Oryzias latipes: one gene and its partners. The protein of the gene in region 1 binds, or shares a complex with, the protein of each later gene. Links are inferred from orthologs where the notes say so. Each region holds a gene or a part of one and is shown on either strand. Other genes may lie near its edges.

What was found.
Region 2: snip1 (region 1) and sf3b2 share a complex: the UniProt entries of both Homo sapiens proteins name them as parts of the minor spliceosome. The link is inferred for Oryzias latipes from reciprocal best matches to the Homo sapiens genes SNIP1 and SF3B2.
Region 3: snip1 (region 1) and cript share a complex: the UniProt entries of both Homo sapiens proteins name them as parts of the minor spliceosome. The link is inferred for Oryzias latipes from reciprocal best matches to the Homo sapiens genes SNIP1 and CRIPT.
Region 4: snip1 (region 1) and armc7 share a complex: the UniProt entries of both Homo sapiens proteins name them as parts of the minor spliceosome. The link is inferred for Oryzias latipes from reciprocal best matches to the Homo sapiens genes SNIP1 and ARMC7.
Region 5: snip1 (region 1) and srrm1 share a complex: the UniProt entries of both Homo sapiens proteins name them as parts of the minor spliceosome. The link is inferred for Oryzias latipes from reciprocal best matches to the Homo sapiens genes SNIP1 and SRRM1.
Region 6: snip1 (region 1) and rbmx2 share a complex: the UniProt entries of both Homo sapiens proteins name them as parts of the minor spliceosome. The link is inferred for Oryzias latipes from reciprocal best matches to the Homo sapiens genes SNIP1 and RBMX2.
Region 7: snip1 (region 1) and snrpg share a complex: the UniProt entries of both Homo sapiens proteins name them as parts of the minor spliceosome. The link is inferred for Oryzias latipes from reciprocal best matches to the Homo sapiens genes SNIP1 and SNRPG.

What each region holds. Positions count from the first base shown.
Region 1 is NC_019874.2:23,603,914-23,607,930, forward strand, and holds the start of snip1 (smad nuclear-interacting protein 1), read right to left. Parts: upstream 2,801-4,017; 5' UTR 2,673-2,800; coding exon of another isoform or gene 2,602-2,672; 5' UTR 2,497-2,601; coding exon 2,357-2,496; intron 1-2,356. Other genes in the region: dnali1 (axonemal dynein light intermediate polypeptide 1), read left to right, coding at 2,924-3,004, 3,211-3,323, 3,875-4,017. UniProt on the Homo sapiens protein: Required for pre-mRNA splicing as component of the spliceosome. As a component of the minor spliceosome, involved in the splicing of U12-type introns in pre-mRNAs. Down-regulates NF-kappa-B signaling by competing with RELA for CREBBP/EP300 binding.
Region 2 is NC_019876.2:19,493,338-19,496,888, reverse strand, and holds the end of sf3b2 (splicing factor 3B subunit 2), read left to right. Parts: intron 1-1,661; coding exon 1,662-1,761; intron 1,762-2,196; coding exon 2,197-2,388; intron 2,389-2,704; coding exon 2,705-2,776; 3' UTR 2,777-3,051; downstream 3,052-3,551. UniProt on the Homo sapiens protein: Component of the 17S U2 SnRNP complex of the spliceosome, a large ribonucleoprotein complex that removes introns from transcribed pre-mRNAs.
Region 3 is NC_019877.2:12,480,875-12,485,042, forward strand, and holds the start of cript (cysteine-rich PDZ-binding protein), read right to left. Parts: upstream 2,801-4,168; 5' UTR 2,688-2,800; coding exon 2,672-2,687; intron 2,469-2,671; coding exon 2,403-2,468; intron 1,031-2,402; coding exon 976-1,030; intron 828-975; coding exon 724-827; intron 1-723. Other genes in the region: pigf (phosphatidylinositol-glycan biosynthesis class F protein), read left to right, coding at 3,216-3,443, 3,960-4,051. UniProt on the Homo sapiens protein: As a component of the minor spliceosome, involved in the splicing of U12-type introns in pre-mRNAs. Involved in the cytoskeletal anchoring of DLG4 in excitatory synapses.
Region 4 is NC_019877.2:19,373,068-19,377,193, reverse strand, and holds armc7 (armadillo repeat-containing protein 7), read right to left. Parts: upstream 2,801-4,126; 5' UTR 2,554-2,800; coding exon 2,463-2,553; intron 1,715-2,462; coding exon 1,571-1,714; intron 1,488-1,570; coding exon 1,144-1,487; 3' UTR 497-1,143; downstream 1-496. UniProt on the Homo sapiens protein: As a component of the minor spliceosome, involved in the splicing of U12-type introns in pre-mRNAs.
Region 5 is NC_019880.2:16,881,506-16,885,005, forward strand, and holds part of srrm1 (serine/arginine repetitive matrix protein 1), read left to right. Parts: intron 1-1,075; coding exon 1,076-1,246; intron 1,247-1,382; coding exon 1,383-1,477; intron 1,478-1,911; coding exon 1,912-2,133; intron 2,134-2,219; coding exon 2,220-2,405; intron 2,406-2,482; coding exon 2,483-2,602; intron 2,603-2,889; coding exon 2,890-3,092; intron 3,093-3,314; coding exon 3,315-3,392; intron 3,393-3,500. UniProt on the Homo sapiens protein: Part of pre- and post-splicing multiprotein mRNP complexes. As a component of the minor spliceosome, involved in the splicing of U12-type introns in pre-mRNAs. Involved in numerous pre-mRNA processing events.
Region 6 is NC_019872.2:23,468,279-23,472,250, forward strand, and holds the start of rbmx2 (RNA-binding motif protein, X-linked 2), read left to right. Parts: upstream 1-1,172; 5' UTR 1,173-1,275; coding exon 1,276-1,280; intron 1,281-2,814; coding exon 2,815-2,930; intron 2,931-3,012; coding exon 3,013-3,064; intron 3,065-3,132; coding exon 3,133-3,262; intron 3,263-3,337; coding exon 3,338-3,524; intron 3,525-3,593; coding exon 3,594-3,871; 3' UTR 3,872-3,972. Other genes in the region: ap4m1 (AP-4 complex subunit mu-1), read right to left, coding at 322-379. UniProt on the Homo sapiens protein: Involved in pre-mRNA splicing as component of the activated spliceosome. As a component of the minor spliceosome, involved in the splicing of U12-type introns in pre-mRNAs.
Region 7 is NC_019865.2:4,866,768-4,870,629, reverse strand, and holds snrpg (small nuclear ribonucleoprotein G), read left to right. Parts: upstream 1-1,401; 5' UTR 1,402-1,515; coding exon 1,516-1,547; intron 1,548-1,690; coding exon 1,691-1,713; intron 1,714-1,867; coding exon 1,868-1,992; intron 1,993-3,203; coding exon 3,204-3,254; 3' UTR 3,255-3,362; downstream 3,363-3,862. Other genes in the region: zinc finger protein Xfin, read left to right, coding at 1-153. UniProt on the Homo sapiens protein: Plays a role in pre-mRNA splicing as a core component of the spliceosomal U1, U2, U4 and U5 small nuclear ribonucleoproteins (snRNPs), the building blocks of the spliceosome.

The DNA of each region.
Region 1 (4,017 bases):
AACAGCAGAGAGTTCTGACCTGCAGACAACTTGACCTCAACTTTCACCGTCGCTGATATCAGCTGAAGAAGGATATGGACCTGAATCTAATGTCTGCAGTCATAACATCGAAGAGAACTATAAACTCTGTTTTGAACCCAGAAGTACGGCTGTTATCAGTTAAAGAAGAAAGACCAACCTTGGACAATCGACAGTTATGGACCCTTTTTACTTTCCCCCTACAGCATTACTTTATTATAAAAAAAATAATAATAAAAATACAAAAAAAATATTTAAAAAAGTAAAACAAATGATTAATGACTTATTGAAAATTGTTAAATTGATTGCCTTTTAATGATTTTATTTCACTTTCTCCAAAAATTGATAAATTGATTCAAAAATCTTTCCTAATGTAGCATAATTTTGCACATGTTTTTAACTTTTGATACTTGATGAAATTTTGCTATGAAAATTCCTGAAACAGTGTTGTGTCTACTTTACTGATATAGTATTATGTTTTATTCATATGAATGGCTTTTATAAGTAACATAATCTGCATATATTTCAGATGACTGATCTGCATTTGCCATGTTGATTTCTAAAATAGTTATTTTTGACGTAATACTTAAGTAATTCATCTTTGTCATGTGCTTTATCGATATCTTATGATTTTTAATTCTGTATGATATAAACTGGGAACCGGATATTGATAAATCATGTAATAAAATGGTTACAGTATAACGGGGTGGGATTATATAAATTCGCTTCCTTCCACTCCCTTTCAAGCAATATTTATTAATATGTATAATTATCCTAAGTTTGATTAGTTACTGTATGAATGTATAACTGATGATTATATTGCTGTTGTGTATTATTTCTACTTAATTGCTTGAAATAAACCATTTCAAATAAAAAAATAAATAAAATTGTTCTGGTTCTCTGTTGTCATCTATTGTTTGTATGTTTGTACCTTGAGCCTAACGCCGACGCTGCATCAACCCAATTTCCCAAGCTGGGATCAATAAAGTATATTTATCTTAAGATCATTTTGTAAGTGATATTCTTGATTCAAATGGAGAAATTCTTCAGTTAAGAGACTTCAAAGGTAAATATGATATTGAATGCTCAACCGAGGAATTTCAGAAAACCTGCTGAGCAATTCCAATTGCTTCAATACATTTAATAAAAAATACAATATTGTCTTCCTATGTTCAAATTAAACTACCAAATTTAGTAATAGGAGAAATAAAATTTAGTGAAAAAAAACGTGATAATAAATTGCTAAACAAATCCTTTAGAGGTAAATTATACCATGACTTTAACAGAAAAGTGAAATATAAAATAACTGAGACACCTGTCACATCAGATGCTCAACTATGGAAATTCATAAAATGGCCAGTGGTTCCCAAAATTAAAGAAATGCAGTTCAAAATTATAAACAATTATTACCCATCGGCAGAGACATTGAGAAGTAGATTTGGCTTTGAGGTTGATCCGTGTGATTTCTGTCAGGTAACCCCAGAAACAACCCAACACCTGTTTTTTTCATGTCCAGACCAGTGAAAGATTCTGGCAAGATTTTCATAATTGGCTTAGTCAAAAAATTAACAACATACAATTCACAGAAAAACATATTTTGTTTTAAAACAGTAAGTTGCCAAAAGAGCCAACAAATAGTGAACATCCTCCTGATTTTGGGAAAATATATTCATAAGCAAAAGTGGAAAAAAGATCGGCCGAATTTCCTGTGTTTTAAAAATGAAGTCAGATTGTATTTATCCTCATTGAAATGTATTCACAACTCAAATTCTTTCATTGATGACATTTGTAAATCTGCTACAGAATGGTTACAAATCTAGGGTCCAGATTGTTGATTGCCTTGTATTTTAATTTATGCTGATAGTTTTTTTTATATATGTATACATTCTTGTTTTTTTTTTATCTTTGTTTTTCGTGAAGAGCTGTGCCTTGCATCATTGTGTTGTTGTGTCTGCCAGAGTTTTGTAATGAGTATATTTCAATAAAAAAAAAAATTAAAGCAAATTTTATGTCTCTAGTCTAACCTTGATTTATCAGCAAGACGGTAATAAAATATCTTAGAACAATAAACAAGATTTACTTGATACGAGTCAGATACTTATACTACTTTTGACACAAACGTGTTAAGGATTATTTGATTTACAGAAACCTCAGATCAAAACTCTTTTGGAGCAACCGGGTATCCCTTACGTTAAGTGTTTATTCCGTAACCGTCAAAAATGAAAACCGGAAGCTAGATTTTCATCAGCGAAAGTACAACAAAAAAATAATGTTGTGAATTGTTTTATATTTAGACAGTTTTACGTCATGAATCGTAGTAAAACCTTCAGACATTTACCTGCTAGCTCGTCTCCCCTGTGGACTGCGTGATCTGTGTGGCCTGCTAGTGCTACTCGGGCTCAGTTTCTCCTGCTTTATCTTCACTTCGGGCTGCCGTTCTGGAGACTCCCTTCTTCTGTCTCGCTTTTCTTTAGTCATTTTAGTTTATTTTTCCAATAAATTTGAGCTCAATTCAACCAAAACACGACACAGTAGCTAGACAAAGACAAGCCAAGATAAAAAATAAAACCTTTGATGCGTTACCAAACTTCTGGCGTTGTGAAAACAAACTTCCGTTTCCGGTGACTCAAATTAATCCCCTCGACGTGCTCCATGTGCTCCCTATTGTTGGTTCCGCCATGGCCTAATTCGTTTTAAATGGGGAAAACGTGATGTTCAAGTTTTTTTTGTCATAGACTGAAGCATTGATGACACATATACGTGTCGTATTACATAAAAAGTATTCTTAAATGAAACTTTGTTCAAATCAATATTATTTTATTTTGAAAAAGTGTCGCCATGACAACACAAACAGTGAAACGGTATTTCTAACAAAACGTGTAACTTGCTCTCTCACCTCAAAACGATGACTTCTTTTGGCGAGTCCCTCTTGAAATACGATAATCCGATATTGGTAAAAACAAAAGGAGATAAAAAATCTCAAAAGGTAAGTCTTGATGGTTAATGATCTATTTAACTGGCGCCCAGAAACTATATCAATTAAGGCTAGAAATCTCATTGTACTTCCATAATTTCTTTATTGTGGACAATGAAAGGCTACCAAATAAAATCTTCAAAAATAATAAAAGAAATTACAAAAAAATAATAATACAAATAAATGTACAATTTTCCCCCCTTTTTTTTCGTTAATAGGGACGTACTCTAACGTTGAGCAACCTTCCAGCTCCCAGCTTTGCAGCAGGTGTTCCATCTCCCCCTACACAGAATTTGGATGAAAACATTTTGCATGCCATCTTACCACCTAGGTAAAAGAAAACCTCAAAAGCTCACCTAAGCACAACGATTCAGATTTATTTATTCTAGATTCATTATTATTTATTCTTCTTCCTAAGTTATGCAGACAAACATAGACTGTGGCATGCACCAGAGCACAATGACCATCCTCAACTTTTATTTCTCAAAAGTCAAATCTGGGAAATCAAATAAAATCAGGCTTTTTTTTTGTAAAACAGATGCTTTTCATGCCATGTAACTCAAAAAACTTTAAACAACACAGTGGAACAGCTACAGTTGGAACAAATGTAGTTTTTATGTGATCCAAAGATCACCAACAAATCCTAATGTCTAACAAGGAAAAGAGGAAAGGTCCTGTAGCTCAGTGAATGTCCAACTTTCATCAACTTAAAAAGATCAAGTCTTGACAGCAAATATTGCCCACAGGTGCATTATCACACATACGTCTGCTTTTTACTTAATTCAAAAATAAAAAGCTGACACACAATCTAAGATCCCGAAAGCATCCAAAAGTTACTGTCAAATGATTTTCCAAGTAAATTCTGATTTCTTACCATTACAGAGAATGGACAGAGGGGGACCAACAGTGGGTGCAGAAAGTATCTACAGCCATTACCACGAGGAAAGATGTCATTCATCTGCAGGAGCAGCTGAACATAAAGCTAAAGCAGAAAAAGGCCAAACCAACTGGCATCTGCCCCATCC
Region 2 (3,551 bases), on another chromosome or scaffold:
GAGCTCTTGTTAAGGACTATGAATACATTTGTGGGGGGTACATGATGTGACAAATCAGTTTCCCACGGTACACCAGTCTAAGGAGGTTGGGAGCCACTCCGTTACACAAGTGAATCCTCTTCTAAATATGTCAACGGCCATGGCAGTGTGGCTGCGTCTCGCCCCCGAAAACAAGCCACGTTCTAACTATTGCAAAGATGGATGTGCAAATTGTGCATTTACAAGGAAAATGTTTAGCCGATCTGCACCGCAGACTCATCCTGGAAGGGGCTGTTCCTCACTTTAATACATCATAATGTGAGGACCCACTTGTTTTCATGGATTAGGTGGGGCCGGTGCCCAGAGAGCAGTTTTACAGGAACGGTCCGAGATGCATGAATGTATCAAAATATAGTTTTTTTTTTTTATTGTATTGTTCGTGAAGAAGTCTTCATTTTTAATCAATTTAAATGTTGTACCAAACATTTTTTCTAAATGTTTTTAATTAATTTTACATTTTATCTCAATTAGCCTTTTGTTTCCTTGTATTTCACTTAAAGCAATGACCAGATTTCCTTAGATCTCAGATTGCTGGCTCATTTAAGAACATAGAATTATCCATTTTGATAATTTCATTGTTGGAAAATGCAGGAATACTTTTATTTGCTCAAAATGAACTCTTCTGATTTTTTTTTTTCTTCACAACCCCCCCCCCCCCCCCCCCCCCCCCCCCCCCCACTTAAGGAAAGCAATCAGTACAAACGCCGGTGCCTTGTGCAAAGAATTCGGCTACAGTTGGCGGGTTTTTAGCTATGTATTTTTTGGTCACTGCAGTTTTGTTCGCCTCGAAGAGACTGGCATTTTTGGATGTCTTCGTTTCAGGTGTTGGAATAGGTTTGTGGTGCTGCTGCCTTTGACTGCAATGGGCTTTAGCCAAATGTTGCAGCGTGGGGTCTCTTCTTCTACGTCTGTGGCAGTAAACCCATACCAATTCCAAACAGATGATTTTATTCCTTTCTTGGGAAAAAACTTCCCACTCTCACCGGTAGCCATGCTGTCGCTTGCTGTTTCATCTGTGCTATGATGTTGTTTGTCGTTTGCCATACTGCGAAAAAAGTGGCGAATTGCATTCTCTAGTCTAAATGTAAATAACATCTTTCCAGTTTTGCTTTATTATTTATCTTGTCCCCTCCCTCTCTTTGTCTCTCTCTCTATGTGTGTGTGTGAAGTTAGATATTTCCTTTGTTTTCAGTTAAGTTTTCATCATCCTCAGTGTTAAAAAGACATTTTTGCTCCTTAATCACATACTCTAGTCGTTTGAAATAAATTCAGGTTAAGTGACGTGACTGCAGTACGGGCATAAAATTCCAGTTGCACGTGATGTCACCAGCAGGTGTCACATTCTGCAGCGACTGGGGCGAAGATGATGAGCGCTAGTGCCTTGGCAGAAATTTGAAGATGCATTAAAGTATTGCTCACATCCATTGCCATGTTTTTGAATGACTTATCACGTGACTTGGTTTGTGTTTATTTGCATAATTAGGATTTAATAGAAACGATGTAATTGTGAAATTGTGTATTTCTACATTTCTGTCATTTTTTTGCATATGTGTAATGGAAAGGCAGCTATTGAAATATGTCACTGTGAGTATAAACACTTTCAAATGTTTTTGATTTTCTAGGAATGAGACTCCTCAGCTTTTTACGGTTCTCCCAGAGAGAAGAACTGGGCCTGTCGGTGCAGCCATGATGGCCTCCACTCACATCTACGACATGTCCACGGTAAGACCGCATGTGTTTGTGACTATGTGTTTTCACAATGTTCTTGTGGCATTCCTCTTATGATGTAGGACATACATAAGAAGAAATAAGCATTACAAATGAGTATTACTTTATTTTTGACGATCTGTGGCATAGACAATACACTGGGTGGGCCAAAAGCCCCCTGCTCCGAGCTCCCAGCAACAGGAAGGGGAAAGCGGGGACGGGGTTGCTTGCACCAATGGTCCCGCCCACAACTCGGTGGCGAATTTTTAATGAACTCCTGCCAATCTACTTTAATTATGCCCTAGCAAACAACACAGGCTTATTTATTTTGGCTAAAAACTGCATAATCATAATTGAAAGACCACAGGGAACACTTTTTATGGATCAAAAGATGATCTAACAAACTCCATCATAATAATGTTTATTCTTCCCCTTTTCTGCTGCTTACAGGCCATGGTAAGCCGAAAGACAGGTGGAGGACAGGAGTCGCAGGGCGTGGAGGTGGCCCTGGCTCCTGAGGAGTTGGAGCTTGACCCAATGGCCATGACGCAGAAGTATGAGGAGCATGTTAGAGAACAGCAGGCCCAGGTGGAGAAGGAGGACTTCAGCGACATGGTGGCTGAGCACGCTGCTAAACAGAAGGTACGGATCTGATTATATTTCAGATGGAAATGTAGAGTAATAAACATTCAGCTTTTGATTCTCCATAAAAAGAGTGGACAGAAATTATTGGAGTCTTGTTCAACTTAATAATCCTCTAATTCAAATTTGGATGATTTGATGTTGTAGGCTTCATTGGCTCTTCATAAAAACATTAGTAAAGCTCATTAGCTTACATATTTGGACCATTTTGGTGCAAACATGCAATCCTGCATTAAAGAAAACATAAAGGCTTTCCCTGGAGTTGTAATCTGAAAATGAATTCACTTTCACTTCCGTCTTTTTTGTTTCCAAACAGCAAAAAAAGAGGAAGGCCCAGCCACAGGACACACGAGGAGGTGCCAAGAAATACAAAGAGTTCAAGTTCTAGAGAAAAACCAAAATAAATTGCAAGAAGTATGGCTGCAGCAGGAAGAGGAAGAGACCTGCCCCAAATTCACTTTGAGAGGATCTAGACTTCAAAACCAATCATATCCTAGACCAGTAACTTCAGGTCCTTTTCCTTTTTTTATGTTTCAACAATGTTGTCTCTGCATCTCATGTACTGTATGCGTCATGAGTGCTAACTGTATTTCCTCTGTTAAACTTGGCTATGTTCCACCATGTTTTATTTTCATTTTTTTGTAAATAAAATTGATAAACTCATTTTTGCTCCTTTGCCTCCATGTTTTTTAATTAACCTCATGCACATTTACTTTGTTGACATTCACATACTACTAGGTAATATTCCAAATCTGAGTGGGGTGATCCGCGTGCAGCACACTGACAGATGACACAGACTGCAGCTGTCTGCCTGATATTTGTCAAATGTCTTTGCTAAAACTCTGGAAAAGCTCCTGGAGTTGACCCCCCTCACTGCTGCCTGTCGATAACATTCAAGAGCGCCGCAGTCTGGGAAGGACAGTGACCTACATAGCTGCTGCAGCCGCTTCATGCTACATTGGTCACTGGTAAATATTCATTTGCAGAGGGAAAAGTTTGCATCCTCACCTTTTAATGTGCAAAGAAAGAAACTGCATTACCTTTTCTACCAGGACTGCAGCAGCTCAACATGACAGCTGCAGAGATAAGACCAATGTTTGTGGTTTTTATGCTGACACTGTATACGGGTATCTAAAAATGTTCATTCGCTCCTGTTTGTTTCC
Region 3 (4,168 bases), on another chromosome or scaffold:
AGCCTTTGGGTTTCACTTGAATAGCAAAGTTTGACAAACATCTCAATAAATAAATATTTTATTTTTGCCCATTTAGTTGTTGTTTCACAGCAGTTTGGGTTGTGCATATATTCAGGCATAATTTTTAGCTCAGGGGCTATTTTTGACCACTTCATCAAAACCTGCAATATTTGGGGCACAACATGCAATTCTGCAATCAATGTAAAACCTTGTATCCACTTCTGCAAGCCGAGTGCTTGGGGCTGGGGTCGAGGTTTGTAAAAATATGGCTTTTGAGGTTTGAATTTCATCACTCAGTTCAAATACTTTACAGACATAAACAAACAGTTAAGTTAACCTATTCCTATACCTTTAAATTCTTTGTATCAGTCACCAGGAACCCTAAAAAAATTACATTTACATCAAAGGATATTTTATAAATTAAAGTGTGTAGTGAGAAGATAATAAAGGACTTGCCAACATGTGTACATTTATATAAATGGGCATCTGTTATGGAAGCACAAACATATGCCAGCACAATGTTGGTTATAGTAAAGATTTACAAAATTACAGACAAATTTATATCAATATTATGACTGAACATAAAAATGAAAAACCTACTTAATACTGTTCTGCTTTAATATGATTTTTGGTTCTACAATACATTGTAGTGTTAATTTTTGACATGTTACCTTCAATTTGTATTGAAGAAAATAAAAATAGAGTTTAAGTGCACAACTATACCTTTCTTGTAAGCACAGCCCTGGCAGTAGTGCGATCCAGGCTGATGAACAGAGCTCTTGCAGATTCTGCAGATGGCAAAGCCCGTCTTACTGTAAGGGTCGAACCTGAGAAAAACCACAGTTAAACATTGAGAATTAGCAACATCAAAGAACCTTAACAGCAAAATAAACCACTAGTGCTTACAGAAAGCTAGAAACTACTACACTGCCATTTGATTTATGAGTAAAAGTTTTTTCACAGTGCAATACTCACCTGGCCTTCTTAGATGTCAACATCTTGTTTTCATTTAGTTTACGGCCTCCACTCTCTAAGAAAAATAAAACAACATTGTGAGATTATATATACACATGTATGTACATACATACATACCAGTGGCGATTTCTTTAAGACTGCAAGGGAAGCTCTGCTTCCCTTATAATGTCACAAAATAAATGGTCAAATATGTACTATTGTATTGTATTGTATTTTATTTTATTAACATTTTATTGACTAAAAATGTGTAAGAAAACGTTCATCTCAAAGACGAGTTCGTTAAGAATCAGTTACATATAGCAAGTCGCCTGACTCGATTTCCTTCTCATACATTCCCGCAGCATCACAGTGCATTTCTCTAAAGAAGCCCAGCGTCCATTGACTTCAATCGGGCTGCTTTGAACATTTTTTTTCTGCGCTTCGAAACTAGATGGTCATTGGATAAACGCTGTGATTATGTCCCGCCAACGGATGCTCAGCGTCTCTGGGGGTGAGTGGGGAGTGGGCCAGCCCAAACTCCGAGCTTCTCCGTGATGATTGAAGGGTCTGTTAAAAGACCGCCTTCTGACTGAAGCTTTTCGCTTATTCACATTTCTCAAGTTCAGTCGAACTAAAAACTGCTGCAACCTATTTCTTTGATAATTGCTGGGCTAAATTGCTTGATTTTCATCATACATTTCACACAATTATACACCACATTGATTGTTTCAGTTTTACAGAGTTTAATATTTTTTTTTAGATAGTTAATTCTTCCCTTTGATTCAGGAAGACTGAGGTCAGAACTTCAAGTCCTGTTTTCAGATCAGGACTTGCAGGGTAACAGGGGAAAGCTGTATGATTACTTGGTGTTCCTTAAAGACATGGAGTTGGACAGTCCAATGCCTCAGCTTTACAAACTGTTCTCATTAGTGGCAACAATTGGAGTTACATCTGCAGGTGTAGAAAGGAGCTTCTCCTGTTTAAAGTGACTTAAGTCCTACACCCGAAACACAATGGGCTAAGGCTGTTTAAGCAGCCTAGCTCTGCTGGCCATTGAGAGGACATTGGTCAAGTCAGTTGAGACACCTAGTTGGTACGACAGGGTCACAGACCATTTTCTTGAAAAGGAACGTAGGGCATAAATACTTTTAAATAAATAGACAATTTTATGATGTAGGCCGAAAATGAGCCGACAGACAGACCGACAGACAGACAGACCGACCGACCGACCGACCGACCGACGGGGAAAACAGATATGTAAATGAGTACTGTTCTAATAAATATTTTAGCAGTAGCTTCTCCTTCCATCGTTTCGATTCCTTAATGACGTTCATTTACAAGACAGATTTTTTGGGGGCAACATATTTATTTTACCTGTCGTTCCACGATTGTCTAAATTATTAAACGTGTAAACATTTTTGGATGTTTTTGGATAGAGACTACGTTACCAGTCGTATTTCGTGCTCCATCCTTCCAAGTGTCAGGAGTGATGACCTTTCCGAGCTTCTTTTCGCCTAAAATATTAGGAAATCCCACATTAACAAAGAATTATTAATAATTAACAAAGCTAACTACGAGCAAGGAAAACCAAAACAAATGCTAGCATAACAAAATATTAGCCACTCAACAAAACAACAAAAATGTCACTAACTAACTATATTAACTAAGTCATAAGTGTAAAATTATGTAAGAAACAAGGCGAAAGTGCGATATTTACATTTTTCACAAACCATCTCAGCTGCGTTTACTTGGCCTGTCTTGATATAAAATGTGTACAAGCGTTCAAGCTAGCTCTGCTCATGTAACTTCCGGTTGTCTTCGTCAACTTGTACAAACAAATCTCATTGGGTAATCCTGTCAGTAAAACGTTATGTGATTCGTTCACTCCGACTAGAAGCGCATTTCTAAAATCCAGAATAAAAGTAAAATGAGAGTAACAATATTTTCGCCACGGAATCAGCACTCGAAAATATAAATTTCACTTTAGAAAATAGTATTTTATTATAAAGTGTTGAATATGATTTAAATATGTTGGGTAATGTATGTCAAAACAAAGAAATTGGTAGAAATTAACAATCAAAAGAGAATCTTCTGTTTTATTGTGAAACGCAAACGGAAATTGCTTTTTTTTTTTCATATTTACGGAAGCGTAGTCATACATGGATTTGCGTGTCCTTTCGCCTACCAAAATTCTAAGACACCTCTACTGAAATTATCTACATTATTCTATTGTCTTGTTGTGAAAAGTGAAAGTCTTCATCATGTGGGACCACGAAATCAGAGCCATGGTGTCGACCCACGCTCTGATCGCCGCTTCGATGTTCATGGCTACGGTGCTACCTGCAGTTTTTGTTCTAAGCTTCTCGGTGTACGGCACTCACCTGTTGTGGCTGTACTGCACATCCGGTGCTGTGAATGCTGTCAGTGTCGTCGTCTTCTGGCTCCTCGGCGTCACACCGTCCACTAAAAAAAATACACTTGGATATAAGGTCAGAATGTCTTCCCTCGGAAATGTCTTTATTTTGTCCAAACCCAAAGAAATGTGCTTGATTTGTTTAAGGTTTTTGCCAAATAGTCATACGTATATGAGAGAAGTATCAGAAATAATTATTACACAATTTAAAATAATAGAAAACTAGGTTTTTCAAAACAATTAATTCCTATTATTTACTCGTAAACGTTTTGTCTCGTTTTTAAAAAACAAATTTGCAAATGGACGTTTCAGTAATAATTAGAAATGTGTATTTCTGATTTGAACACATTTTTAATTGAGTTTATAAACATTTGCTACAGTGCTTTATTTTCACGTTAAACATTTTAAATTCATATGACAGTCTATATGCAATTGTTGCTTATTAACATTTTTCTGCTACAACAAACTCATATAAAAAAATAATTTTTCTGAGCTTTTACATATAAAAATTGTTCATTTTTTAAGTGGATTTTTCTCAAATGTCTACGTTGTAACTTTTTGGTAATAATGATAATCCTGTTTCTTTCCACAGCTTTCCAGGCTGTTTCGTGCCTGTCTGTACTTTTTCTTGTCATGTCTGTTCTTCCACACTGTGATTGTCCTTTATGGAGCCCCGTTGATTGAGTAAGTCTATTAGAAAAAAATCTTTGAAATTGTTTTTAAAATGTATCTGTAAAAAAGGGCAGATGTTTTCTGCATGCAGACAACTTTAGTGCATTCTCCTCTGTTTGACCAAATCAG
Region 4 (4,126 bases), on another chromosome or scaffold:
TAAATCCCTTTGTGCATTTGACCAATCGGATGGAGCCCTTTTATGTTAGATGCTCGCCTCATAGGTAGACGAGGGTCATTTGGAGTGTAAATAATTGAAACTATTTACATTTTACGAAACCCTTGTGATATCTTAGATGACCCCACCCTTACATCGACGTGTTCTCCCTACCATGACAAATGTGGATAAAGGTGGAAAGATGTCATGTAATCCATTGACACCAGTGAAGATCACAAATCATTGAAGAAAAAAGGTTTAGCGCACTGTCTAGTGGGTCTAGATGACCCAACTCCCAACGTTAAAATGTCTAGGATAGCACAAGGGTTAACCCTTGTTGTTGTAAAATTAAAATGCAGCTGTTTTTGCTATTTGTTGATATGTAGCAAGTATATTGTCATCGCAATATTGATCACCAATGTTGCAAATTTTCCTCATATCATGCCGCCCAAGTCAGGACTAAAGGGAGGAGAGCCAAACACTCACACGAAGGCAGAACTTCTGTAGATTTTTTTTATTTCAATAAAAGACACCTGAATTATCCAGACTAAGAAAGCCACAAACTTAGGCTTCCATGAGGTTTGGTATTTCTGCTGATTAGTGACAGTTGGTAGAAACGTATTCCTCCCATGAAAGCAGGATAACTTGGGTTTCTATATGTCTTTTTTTTTTAAATCTAATACGACTACAGACAAACTTTCCCTCATTTTTCCTTTGATGAGTATCTGACCTTTTCAGTTGGTGTCCAACATTTGAAAGGAATTATTTTCTGTCTAGTAAAACACATCTTTACCATTTTTCCATGAGAACAAATATACTCATTTTGCTGGAAGCCTGTTTTGAGCAAATTTCAAATTACTTTTATAAATGTACTTGTGCTTAAAAACATACAAAAACCATCTTAATATTCAGATTCTGATCCAGTGAAGACATGAGTCCTGTGCAAACTCCAGCTGCAAATGAGAGGAGGTGCAAGACCTGGACAAGCAGCTTAATTTTCCTCTCTTCATAACCAACTTTAGGGTGGATTTTGTTCAAAGGAAATCCTCCAGATCGGTTCAACATCTGCTGAAAACACCAGAAATTAAACAATCATAAAACCAAAACGGTCACTGTTTGTTTCCACTTGACTGTGAAGCAAAGTCTTTAGTCTTTGGGTAGTGGGATCCCAACAGCCATCTGCTGTCCCTGCATCTGCTGCTCGGCCTGCCTGACCTGATCCTTGGTGCAGCAGTCCTGCAGGAACACAGCAGCTAGGTTGTGCAGCCGGGGACTCTCAGCAAGAGAGAAACGCAGCATGCACTGCAAGATGCCTGGCTCTGTGAGCTGAGATTGTGAAGCTGGAGTCACAAGGTTCATAAGGGTAGTAATTGCTGATAGCACTGTCTCCTCCCTCTGGTTTGACAGACAGTTTGTGATTAAGCTGATGCCGTCACTGTCCAGGATGAGGTCCCTGCAGTCTGGGTCCATACTGAGGTTACAGAGCCCACCTGAGAAAATTTAGACCAAAAAAAATGTTTTTCACTGCATTTATGGTACAAAAAAACCCAAATGATAATCTAAAAAGATTCACCCATTCCAAACTCAATAAAGTTCTCGTTCTTCTCAGTCAACATATCCAGAAACAGGTCGGTCACTTGCAGCTGTCGCAGATACTCTGTGTTCTTTGGGTCGTAAGCAAAGTTGGCGAGGTTTGCCAAAACCTGCTCCTTTGCCTCTAACGACAACAGAACATAAATAAAAAACACAGAATCAGATTCAAATTCAATTAAATTACATATACTGGACATTAATGACTGAAACGGGAACAAGGACCAAAAGCAAGATAAATTTAATCCACCAGAGGGCGCTTTTTTACACCTCAACATTAAAAATAAGACTAAAGACCTGCATTCCTAAAAAATTATTGACGGACAATAATATGTAGTTTGATCCTTTATATATTGCATATAAAAGGCTGCAAAAGTCTATCAGCATAAATCATTAAATGGCATTTGTTAAATTTTGGTTTTATTGATTTTTAAAAAACGTCATTATGCATTTTTAATTTAGTATTCAAACATGATCGTCAGAATTACTAAAGCATAATTATTTAAAAAAAAAAATCTTAAAAGATAAATGCATTGTTTTTTTCCTGAATAATCTGTCCTGTTTCTAAGCATTCAGATTTTAAAAATTAAATTTTTGTAGTTTATATATATATATATATAATAAAATAAATAAAAATAAAAAAATAATTATATATATATATATATATATATATATATATATATATATATATATATATATATATATATATATATATATATATATATATATAAAGTGACTATCATGGATTGATATAAGTAAGACATGCTTTCATTACAATGTTTATGCATTAACAATTTAATTTCAAAGAATTTGTTGTAAACTAGCAATAATTCTTAGTTTTTCTAAATGAATCTGCGAGCTATTTGTGTTTTTACCTTCACTGTCACTATCCTGAAACTCTGTGACAAGAGCCTGTAAATATTCAAACCGGTCAGAGGTTTCGGGTGAAAAGTTCCGTTTCATCATTCAGTATCTTATATTGTGTTTTTAAGAAGACAAACGCGCGATTAAAACAAAAAAATAAAATACATTTGAAATAGTATCCTCATTTATGCATTTGGTTTCAGTAGTTCGTTCATTTTGTCCGTCTTTCAAATACGTCCGGCTTAAATTAGAATTTGGACAGTGGTTCCGGGATATTGTTTCGTGACTCTTTTTTTTTCTTCTTCTGAAGACTGGATGAACTGTTAACGCAACAGAATAACAATTAAAAATGAAACCCAAAAGTAGAATTAAGCTGTTCTTACATAAAAAAGAGCTGTCAATTTATTTTATCACTTAAAACGTTGTGATTTTTAATAATTAGGCCTATAATGTTTCGGTAATAAATCACTTTGATTTAATTTAATTAAATGATTACTTTTTGTCATAGACGATAAAAGCAAATTACTTTACGAAATTCAATTCTCAAACGGAAGTCGGTACTTCTTTGTCGACATAGACGTCAGTGCTGGACCGGAAGTTGAGGCGCTCCAACGTCCCTTCAGCTAACTAACTCACGCGCAGGAAGGTCAGCTGAAAACAAACTCACGTTTCTGTTGCTGTTTGGATTCTATGCCGTGAACCTTCTGATTTAAAGTTCTGCAGCAATGAAGCCTCACAAGCTCTCTGCAGCTAAAAGGCTCACGAAACCTATTCTGTTCGGGAGCATCATTGTTGGACTTGCCACTGTTTACATAAACAGGTGATCTATTTTCTTATTTTGTATAAAACAATAGGAAAGTTATAACGCAAATATAGACTTTAGTCTATATATTCAGAATATTTTTTTATGTGTTTAACGTTGGAGATTGTTGTCCTTGCGTAATGACGCTGACGTTTGATTGTAATCAAGTTTAAGAAAAACACTGAAAACATGTCTGTACTGTCCTTAAGTACAAATTAACATTGGAGCCAAACCATAATTTCATTAACAGGAAATTTTGTCTTTAAATATCTTTAGTAATAGGAAAAATACAACTATTTTTATTTTGTAGCCCTTTTTATTTCCAAAGCAAGGCATCACAGACACATACTCTTTCTTTGCACCACAAAAAATACTAACATTTAATTATATAAGTGTAAGACTGCAGGTAACAGCATTTTTAATTTATAATTAGTAATCATTTGTAATGAGACACTAATGTTTTTAATTAGTAGATTATTTAGCATAATTTCAGTTTTTGACCAGTATCTTCTACAACCTGGAGTGCAATTACTATTTAAAATAAATTAAAGAAATCTAAATAAATGTCTTTGTAAAATATATCTTTAAAATAAGAATCTTTTTTGTAAAACATATTGTGTTATTGGAAGTGGGGGGCTTTTTCACTTCACAAATTTCTCTTTTCTACATTGGTGTCACGTTTTTGACACTTAGTGCAGCTGCTTTTATCAGATTACATTTTTTAAATTTTTTTTAAATTTTTTTGTGTGAAATCTGCTCTGGTTTAGTTGGTGTACTGCTGCAGAGATTCCTTTTCTAAAAAAAAGTTTTAAAAAGAATTTGAGCTGCAGATTGTGCTTTTCCAAACCAGGTTACTGTCTTAAAGAGAGCCCA
Region 5 (3,500 bases), on another chromosome or scaffold:
AGACCTTTGTTTAAAGGCAAAAACAGCATTGTAATTTGCAATTTTTAACCAAATCGTAGTGCAAAAAAGTTTTTGTTCTCTAAGCAGCACATTCTGTGTGTTGACATTTCAATAATTATATTTAACTTTTGTTTAAAGGTAGACGTTCAGGATACATCTTAAGTAGGTCAAGTAGTAGTAATTGAATGTTTATGCCTGTTTTAATGCGAGTCTCTATGCAGTCTTTGTAAAGTTTTTCTTAGATATAATTCCGAAGTGGGTGGACTTGCCCAAAAAAATCCCAGAAATGTAAGTGTGTAGGTGGGAGGGTCGGGCTGTTAGAATTTAAAGGGGACTTTAGTGTTTTTTTTAAAGAATGAATACAGTAGTAGAACTAGTTTTCAATGTTCTCACTTTTTCATTTATTTGAAATAAAAATAATCTATTTTTTGTGTTGCTGTGTACTCATTATTGCTTGTTCGTCTCTTACAATTTAGAATGATATAACATTAAGCTCAAGGTGGTTGAGTCTCAAGCTGTAGGGAGGCGGAAGCAAGCCAAGGGAGCTCCGTGCCCACTGGTTCCACGGGACTCACTGAAGACACCGGAACTGTATTTGCAGTGTTGGGTTTTAATGCACTCTGTATTATGGTTAATTTGTCGAACCCCTAAAGTGTAGCCTGGGGGGGAGACTGGGAAATGGGTTGGATAGCGTTACTGGGAGTGGAAAGTAGCAAAGTAGCACTTACAAAATAAATTACACATTTTTGTATTTGAGTTTCTGTGCTACGTTAACATATTTAAAACTAAAAAAGATTGCATGGAGTTTATATAATTGTATGAATTTATCATTTTTAACTGATTTATTTGTATTGGTTAGTAGTAAATCCAGCTTTGGACTGAGATATTTGTAAAATGATAGTCACTGTTAAACATGTTTTGATATGATTACATTAATCCAGGTTTAGTCTAGTGAGGGATAGAAGGCAGGACTTCCCATTTGTGGGATCCTGCCTCCTTTTAATATTTTGTTTTCAGATATTTCAACAGCTGTATTTTTTTTCTCTTTTCCCCTTTTCATGTCTGTGTGTTGCAGCATCCAGACAGCAAGATGATGCAGATCAACCTGACAGGGTTCCTGAATGGAAAGAATGCCCGAGAGTTCATGAAAGACCTGTGGCCCCTGCTGTTGAGCGCCCAAGAAAACATCGCCGGCATCCCCTCTGCCTTCCTGGAGCAAAAGAAGGAGGAAATCAGACAGAGACAGGTGCGCTTCCTCATCACCCCTATGTCACATTATTGATCTACAGCAACGTATTTCAGGGTTAAGTTGTAGTCGGTGATTATTTAGCTGAATGCAATGCTTCCCAGCTGTATGATCAGTGCTTTTTGGTGTTTCTCAGATTGAACAGGAGAAGATTGCTTCATTGAGGAAGGTGGATGAAGATAAGAAGGAAAAGGAAAACCGGGAGAGAGCTCAATCAAGGAGTCCAAGACGGTTAGAATTATCATCATTGTTTATGTTGACTGGTTTAAACTTCTGTGAATTTTTTGGGACCTTGTCTGACAAGTCTTTAACAGATGCATTTTAGAACTATATTTATAAATTTACTTCCCTTTAAATAAGTTTTTATGACATTGTATTCCCTGATGCATGTGTTCACAACCATGTGTTTTGATTAGAATTTACTTAACCCCTTGATTCTTGAATGTATTTCCAGCTTTTAAAAAAATGTTTTTGCTTTCAATTAAATGCTAAATTTAGCTAATTTTGGACCCAAAGATTTGATGATTCATGATTTGATGTACATTTGCTTTAATTGTGAAGCTATATCTTATGTTTCTTTGGATTGTCTCACAAAACCATACACTGTTCTGGCCTAAGTCTTACTTTAATACACTGAAACACTTTCTTTTTTTTTTTTTGTTCAGGCGGAAGACAAGATCTCCATCACCACGTCGAAGGTCACCAGTGAAAAGAGAAAGGAAACGCAGTCCATCACGGTCCCCCAGGCGTAAGCCTAGTCCAGTCGGCGGCAGCTCCCCCCCCCCTCTTATGCAGCTGCCCACTAAACCTTCAGAGCAGTCTTTGGAGCCAGATTCATCAGGAAAAGCCGCACAACAACAAGTCGTTCAAGAAGCTTCTTCTGCAGGGTTGGTGGTGTTTTGTTTTTGACAGATTGATTTGATTCATATCTAAAATGGTGGAGAATTAACACTTGAACATTTTTTTATTGCAGAGATACAGCTGTAGAGGCCGCTAAAGCGAGCTCAGCAACGGAGGTTAAAGAAACATCTCCGGAGAAACCTCATAAAAAAGCGGACAGACCACGGTCACGTGAAAGGGAGAGGGATCCGAGGAGAGAAAGGCCTCACCACCGCTCCCGGTCTCACTCCCATTCCCGTAGGCGCCGCTCCCGTTCAAGGTAACGTGGGACATCATTTGTTGAATTAGTGTGAAAAAATTAGGCTGCAAAAGGCTTATTTCTCTTTTCTTTTTCAGATCTTACTCTCCACGTAGAAGACAAAGTCCTAGAAGGAGGATGTCCCCTCGTCGAAGGAGTCCCCCTAGACGGGGCCCCGCTGGCCCCAGACATCGACACAGGCGTTCCCCTGTGCGAAGGTCGGATAGCAGAGATGCTCACCTATGATTTTGTTATACTGTTACAAAACCTTTCATCCAGAGTTTGAGTCTGAACTTCAGTTAATGCTCCCAGAAATATCTCACTAAAGAAACGCATATATTTTGACTTAATCAAAAAGGGAATAAATGCATAAATTTAACTTTTATCGTGTTAATGTGACACAAAATCTATATACCGTAGGTTTCTGTGGGTTTTTTTGTTGTTCCAAATTGCCTTAAAAGTTGTATTAAAATAAACATTAAAAAAAATTACCTTTGGTCTGTAGGAGGCGCTCTCGTTCTGCTTCGTCCTCTGGCAGCAGCTCCTCTGGTTTACGTTCTCCTAAAAAACCCCTGAAAAGAACGTCGACCACCCCACCCCGGAAACAGCGTCCCCCCACATCCTTGAGCCCCGTAGGAAAGGACAAACGCTCGCCTTCTCCACGAATGAGAAGGGGCCAGGGCTCTGCTTCCCCGCCGAGATCCTCAGGTAGGATGTATACTCAAGTCCAATGAGAGAACAAATGTATCGTCTTATCTTGCCTTAAAGCAACACCTGCCCCCCCCCCCCCCCCCCCCCCCCCCCCCCCCCCCAAGAAAAAGTTTTTTTACAGTCCATATTTCTTTGTGACGAAAATATTTAACACATAAATATTCTACAAGCTCGAAATCTAGACAGACTATTTTAAACTTACAGAACTCTCATTTTCAGGTTTCAAGCAAAAACCAGAAGGAAGAGAATCTCCGTCTGAAAATGTTAAGATTGGACCTTCTGACGGCTCCGAGTCAGGTCAGAGCTGAGGCTGTTAAAGAAATGTTCTTGTTTCACACCTTTGGATCAAAAATGACAATGCTACACTTTGGAACCATATTAGATAAAATACACAATTATCATGAA
Region 6 (3,972 bases), on another chromosome or scaffold:
AAGCAGCATCACCATCATAAACACACTAAAAGAGGAATGGACAGACCATTTGGAATGATTTAATGAGAATGCATGGACGAACTCTAATTAACACATGATTCAGATAATTTTTAGGCCTTCAGAGAAGCCCATCACCATTGAAAATAACAACTTTAAAACACCTGTGTCTGACTGATGCAAAAAATGTACCCCAGATGGGCAAGTACAAGTACCCCTGCTAGAGTAAGTCTGTCCCAAAGGGGAGATCTTTCACTGTATAGCAGAACTGAACTTCAAAGCAGGATGATTTAAACAGAAGCAGGTGAGAGCTGAGAAGGATACAGTCTCTGAAGAGGAGGGGGTCGCCCTTCGAGGACAAGATGAAGAGCTGCCGGATCATCCTGCAGAGGATAGAGGACTGTCGGGGCAACAGTTCACCCCGGTGGGACAGCTAGGGGGAGTTTCAGTGCCACTGCAACATCTGCAGAAACAACATCTGCAGGAACACGTCCAAGTCTGTCTGCAGAACTGCAGTCAAGCCGAAATAAAGGAGAAAACCCCTGTTTATGGGGGAAATGACAAACAAGCAGCATCTCATATTCACTGCATGAAACTAGTTATTATGAGGAAAAAAATAAACTAACAATAAACAATCAGATTGTCTGGTGTGTGCTACTGTAGGTGTGCGTCACACATTAATCTCAAACGTGTTAAAGGTGACACTGAGTAAAGCGGAATAGGGTAAAGACAAGTCGAAGGAAAACTGAATTTACCTGAAAAGATGACACAGTTCAGACGTTTAAACTGAACTTTAAGTGTTTTAAAGCCATGCTAACGTGGAATTACAAATCATTTTCCAGTTCCACGTAAAATCTCCTGCAATGATGTCGACTCTAAGAAAGGGTGTTATTTAAACATTAAAAGCTTGAAAAACACAACACGCTTTAAAACGTCCACTGTCTGGTTTAAGTGTTGCATCCTGTTAAAAATGAACTGTTAGCTTGTTAGCGCCACCTGTCGTGCAGGCGGAAAGATTGGACGCTTGCTTTTTACAGACAGAACATTCAGCATTTCACAATTTCTTACAAAAATAAAATAAATACATTTCTTGTTTATTAAAAGCAGCATTCGGGCAGTGTTAGACGCTTCGCGTTCGCGCAGTTTTCTCGTTCATTTCATCTGTAGTTCGGTCATCCAACCACCAGGCGGCAGCACACGCAGAACCTCCACAGGAAGTGCACCACTTCTCCACGCTTGGTCTTTGGCACCATAACATCGCTGCTGTTCGAGCTCACCATGAAGTAAGTAAACGTTTCCCTCTACAGCCATTACATTAGTTTTTATTTTTCATTTGGTAGAGAATCCCTTTTCTGGTCGTTGGTTTCCTGTTGAGCGGATTCCAGCCGATAGCAGCAGGCTTTATGTTTCGTGTGTGTCGCCTTTTCCCCATTTCCATTCAAATTCTCCACTGTAGAACTTCAAAAACTTCTAAAAACTTCTAAAAAATCAAATTTGATTTTTTTAAACTTAATAGACCAGGTACTGAATAGCCACCTACTGAATTCGTACTTGCGTTTGATTGTATTTGCATTTTAGAGGTGTAACGATTGCATACCAATCAGTGGTTGTTGATGTGATTCAATCATTCGATAATTGTTCGTTTTATCCGATTCAGTGACCTAATGGATCCAGGACATCTTTATCCAAAACATCATCCAGTGTGACTCAGCGAGAAATACCTGCTACTGAAATGTGAAGTTTTCCAGATTCCTTAGATTTCTTCCAAGATAATCAAGTTTAAATTAAATATGTACAAACAAAGAATTAAAATCAAATCCATCCACATTTTAGTTTCCTGAAGTTCAGCCCACTGTTGTTTTTCCACATCCAAAGAATCCAAAGGGAACATTCTAGCACACTGTGTGGTCACATGACTTTCTAAATTCAGTTTTGGACTGGAATGATGGTTGATCAGTTTTTGATGAAATTACATGTTTTTTGTCTGCTGTAATGCACTCTGTTAATTTTGATTGTGTCTGAATTCCTTCAATACTCACTACCTAGGGGGCACTATGTAGTGCACTATATATTGCCCTATATAGTGCACAACATTCACCATGTTGTAGTGCTGTCCGAACCTACAATTTCAAAGTCGAGTGCCCTAGAAATTTCCCAGAAGTCTCTGCGAAAAAGCAGTGTGCATCGAGTGAATATAAACCACAATGCATTGCGTCGAACAGTTTTTGCAATTTTCTTTTTTTATGTTAGGGTGGGAACTTGGGGCACAGCCTTTATGTTATAGTAAAATGACCTCACCAGGTCTCAATCCAAACGGTGGTTTCCAATATCGATTCAATAGGCAGAGCTGAAGGTAGCAGAGATGAAGATGTTGAGGTTCTCTTTGGGAGAGACCAGGATGCATCAGGAATGAGTCCATCAGAGGAGCAGATCATGGTTGATATTTGGGACATGAATGCAGATGGAGATGGTTTGGAGGAGCAGCAGTGATGATGCTGAGGTTACAGAAACCAGGAAAGAGGCCTAGCGGAAGACCACAGAGGAAGTTCATGGATGAAGAGGAGGGCATGAGGGTTGTTGGTGGGGACGATAGAGGAGAGAGCTGGATGATTAATGTAGCAACTAAGAGACAAAGAAGATATGGTTGAAATCTTCATAATGTTCATTATGTTGAGATGGTGCATAAAAAAATAAATTGATGAAACATGAATATTAGAAAGCTGACCTTCAGGTTTATTTCACTTTGTTTAAATGAACAGAATCTTGACTGCTGTCTTCTAAAACACTGAAAGTTTCCTGCCGGTTGATTTGTTTCAGTCCTCTGACGAAGGTGAAGCTGATAAACGAGCTGAACGAGCGCGAGGCCGACCTCGGGGTCAACGAGAAGGTGTCGTGGCACAGCGAGTACCGGGACAGCGCCTGGATCTTTGTGGGTGAGGGGGCGGAGCTTCTCACAGGAACCTGCAGTAAATGAAGCGTGAAAGCAGGTGGTTGACGTCTGTTCTGATCCTGCAGGAGGCTTCCCCTACGAGCTCACAGAGGGGGACCTGCTCTGCGTCTTCTCTCAGTACGTACCCACAGCCTCGCTTTGGGGTGGGGTGGGGGCACACACCGCTTACTGATGTGTCCGTTCAGGTACGGTGAGATCGTCAACGTCAACCTGGTGCGCGACAAGAAGACGGGAAAGTCCAAAGGCTTCTGCTTCATCTGCTACGAGGACCAGCGCAGCACCATCCTGGCTGTGGACAACTTCAATGGCATCAAGGTGAGGCCCCCACCCCCCACCCGGGGCGGCGCCACTGTGAGCATCCTTAATGATGAAGCTCTTTCTCCCCTCCAGATCAAAGGACGCACCATTCGCGTAGACCACGTAAAAAACTACCGCCCCCCCAAAGACGGCGAGGACATCGATGATGTCACCAAACGCTTGAGGGAGGATGGCTGCGCCCCCACGGGCCCTGCCGCCCCCCCGTCCTCCTCTGAGGATGACGAGCAGCTCGTCATACCTGTGAAAAAACCCAAAAAAGGTGAGGTCACTTCCTGTTCTGTCATTTATGAGGGGGAGGGTCAGTTTCACCTGTACTCTTCTGCTGCAGACAAAAAAGAGAAGAAGAAAAAGAAGAAGGAGAAGAAGAAGAGCCGAGCTTCCTCCTCCTCACCTCCCATCCGAGTCAAAGAAGAAAAACGAGACACGGCGTACGACAAGTACGCCACGGGGGGGTCACAGAACGGACACAATGAGACGGAGAGGAGGAGGGAGGAGAAGAGGAGAGACAGAGATGTGGAGAGTAAGAGAGAGACTGAACGAGAGAGGGAGGACAGAAGGAGAGGAGAGAAGAGGAGAGAGGCGGACAAGGAGAGCTCCAGAAGATAGATGGAGGAGTAAAGAGAGGAGAATGATACATTCTCTCCTCAGCAGAAGAGCTCCCCCTGCTGGCTGACATCCTCCTGTAAACAAAGCTTCCATGAGAAGCC
Region 7 (3,862 bases), on another chromosome or scaffold:
TCCAAGAGGCACAGGCTGTACCACTGCGTGCCCTGCCAGCAGGGCTTCTCCGTGCTGGAGTGCTTCCTCCAACACTGTCAGGAGCACCTGCGGGTCCGGGTGGAGGAGGACCGAGAGTCGGAGGCGCTGGCACAGCAGGCCAGCAAAGCCTGATGGGAAACAGAATGTGTCCAACAGCTGCCTTTTTTTTTTTGCTTTATCATCTTCAGGGTTGAAGAGAACATTTGATTTTTTGTTTACTCATCAAAGTGCGATGCCTTCTGCTTTCTGTTTGTTAATAAAGTTGTTACAATTTGAATCAACGCCTGGCAGATTCAAAAGCTATTTTCCCATCAAAACTTAAACTTCCTGGAGAGGGAAAGCACTGATTAACATCATCATTTATGTCTTTAATACACTGAATGTGTTTTGTCAAATTGTGCTGTTTTCTTCCAAATAATCAGCAAATATATAATTATTAATTCTTACATTTTATTTTTTGTCAGGACAGCTTTCCATGAGCACATCACCATGGTAACTTGCTAACAACATCCTACTGAGGATGAATGAAGCTGTTTTTCTTTTTTCTTTAAAATTGCTTGTAAAAGTAAAAATCATAGTTTATCAAATTTATCATAGTTTCAAAATGTTCCCATAACCTCTTAAAGTTAAGGTAGCTCAGGTCATGTTAGTGAGGAAATATGAAGTAATGGATGCTAACATCCTCTTGAATGGCTGGCTGTTCTCTTTGGTAGATTTTGGGTTGAATCTCAGCCATTTGTTTTTTTAGTGAGTGCGAATTTATGAGATTTCCATTTTTCTGAGGGTCTAGCATGAATTCCTATAAACCTTTGCTTCATAAAAAACGTTTTTGATGTCTTTATTGATAGCAGGAAACGTGGATTGTATCTCCTTTCTATGCAAACAAAAGCAGCCGCCTCAAAGTTTTGTTTCTCTAAAGTTATTTTCAGCGGCTCTTTTCAGTGTCACTGTGATGATTTAAAGTTTGAAAAATGTTTTGGGAATTTTTCACAATCTTCCTTTGTAAAGGAAAAAGTAAAACAAACTGTCGCATTTTTTAAATGTATGTTTGATTTTATTTTTGCTTTTGATCATTACAGCTCAGATGTTCAACCAAAAAAAAATAAAACTAATCAGCTGTGCTTTTGCACAAATAAAAATCTATTAATACAATGAGTTTTTTAAGGTTTTCTATATATATATATATATATATATATATATATATATATATATATATATATATATATATATATATATATATATATATATATATAAAATATATCACACACTTCATGTGCATGTATTTTTATAGTTGTTTTGGTCATTTTCTAACTGCAAATAGTATTATTTGCCTTTGGCTGATCCCTTTTTAAACCAGATTACTCCTCCCAGCCGCACGAGGGCGCAGCACAGCAAAGGTCACAGGGTTTTACTTCCGGTCTCCCGGTCCACACGCGTTTCCTACGCGGTTTTGTGAATTGAAACACGACTTTGTTTCGTTAAAATACAGACACCATGAGCAAAGCGCATCCACCAGAGCTAAAGAAGTAAGTTTGCAAGTTTTTGAAAGATGATAGGCCTGATAGCTTCGGTCTTTTTCGCGAGATTGTAGTATGTTTCCATGTTAGCCACCGTTAGCCGGAACAGCTAGGAATTGAAGCTAAATCTAAATAATGTTTTTGTCTTTCAGATTCATGGACAAAAAGCTTTCCCGTGAGTTAAAACTCTCGTTTCATTATTTAATACATATTTCAAAATTACACTATATTTCTATTCATTCGCCGGCTTTTTCTTGTGAAATTAAATTCGCTTTTAGCTAAGCTAGCAGCCTTCATGTTCATCAGTTTGCTCTTTTTGTTTTCTTCAGTGAAGCTGAATGGAGGCAGACACGTCCAGGGCATCCTGCGAGGGTTCGACCCCTTCATGAACCTGGTGATGGACGACTGTCTGGAGATGGGCCCCGGGGGACAGCAGAACACCATCGGGATGGTGGTCAGTGTCCGAGCAGAACTGTGAAGCATGAGGGAATAGTTTAATTCAATGTTTTACCCCACCCGTAATAGCAGGACGAATAGGTTCAATTAAAGATCATACTCTTTATTTATTTTTATCTTTATTAGCAATTCCATCTTTTGACAATTTGAACCAATTTGAGTGCTGTCTACATAGATTTATAAAAACATGCACAACTGTTTTCCTAACAAACCAGACAATCCTATAAAGAAATATGAACCAATAAAATATGTTAGGGGTCTGCTAGTTAGTAACAAAAATGTAAATGTTCTAAAAATCATCTTTTTGATAAAGAAAATTTTCTACCTCACAAATACACTTTTTTTGTTTTAATTACTTTTTTTTTAACTCCTTTTAATTCACTACATTTTGAATAAAGAAATACGCAGAAAAGCAATTTTAAGCATATTTTTTTTAAATATATGTCCTCATCAGAAAAATGCCACAAGAACATGTCAAAGTAAATAAATTAAAGCAATCCCAGTTGGTCATTTAGTGGTTTTGATCATTTCCGGCAACTAATTTTTAATTTTTTCTACAAAAACAAATTTTGTTTCGAAGTTTATTCAAAATTCTTTAGTCAAAGAACCTATTCTATCCACTTTCTCTTGTAAATATAACATTATATTGATAAGACAGACTTCCTCGTTTGTTTTCCAGGCATCTGTATTCTAGTTGCTACTGGTTTTCTAGATCGGGAAGCTGCAGATTCTGCTTGATGAAATCCACCTGATCCACGTGACTAGCTGCAAATAAAGCAGGGTTACTGGAAAACATTTCCACATTTTTATGTGTAGCCAAAAGTTCATTACTACTTAAAATAAATACATCCAGACCAACAGGGGAGCCTCAATGCCTACTGAAAATCTCTCTTAAATATATTATACTGCCCCCCCCCCCCCCCCCCCCCCCCCCCAATACTCCAGCTTTTCCAAAGATGTCTAATTAGTTTATCTGAAACAAAACTGACCTGTCTTTACGGAAGAACAAATAACAATTGCCTGTTCCAGTGAATATCTGTGAAACCAAACGTTGGCAGGTTCGTGGTTTTTCCTGATGTGACAGCCTCAGGAAAGGGTTTAGTAGTTTTTCCCAAACTAGAACATTTCTCTTATTCAACACACAATTGTGTAAAAATAAATGTGTAAACGTGAAAAGATCTGATCTGTTTTCCTTTTGTCTTCCCGAAGGTCATCCGAGGAAACAGCATCATCATGTTGGAGGCTTTGGAGCGAGTATGAGCAGAGCACAGCGGCGCCTCCTGTTTTCTCATTCCATTGTAGTTCATTCACAATGAAAGTCTGTTGGTTTTGAGATGTTTGTTTGTTAATAAACTATTTTTCTTTTTATCCGTGCATTTGTTTGGTTTTACGAAATGTTACTGTATGTGTTCTTTCCTGTAGATGCAGCAAGAATTTAGTGTTTTTGTAATGGAGGATGAGCTGCTAAACAAAAAAAGAATATCTTAAATGTTAGGGTTAGTCTTATCTTAAGGAATTCGAAAGCTTTTTTTATAGCTTAGCTGTTAAAAAGCTATAATGGCTAAACAATGTTGGGAATGCTGGTGATGAAGACATAAATGCTGAACTATTTTAATAATTTGATAGACCTAAAGTCAGCTGAATATTTAAGATATGCGTAATTTCCATTCATGAGCTGGCAAACTTGTTATAAACTAGCAGGCAAGTATTTGTTCATAAAATATTAAAAAGTTGGATTCAGTTTGTTTATTCTTGAGCTCTATCAAGTTTAAAAGTTTCCACGTTGAAAGGAAAAAAATTTAAGGTATTTTAAAATTAAAAACATTAGCTGCTTGACACTAAAACAAAGGGTTACCAATTTTTCTAAA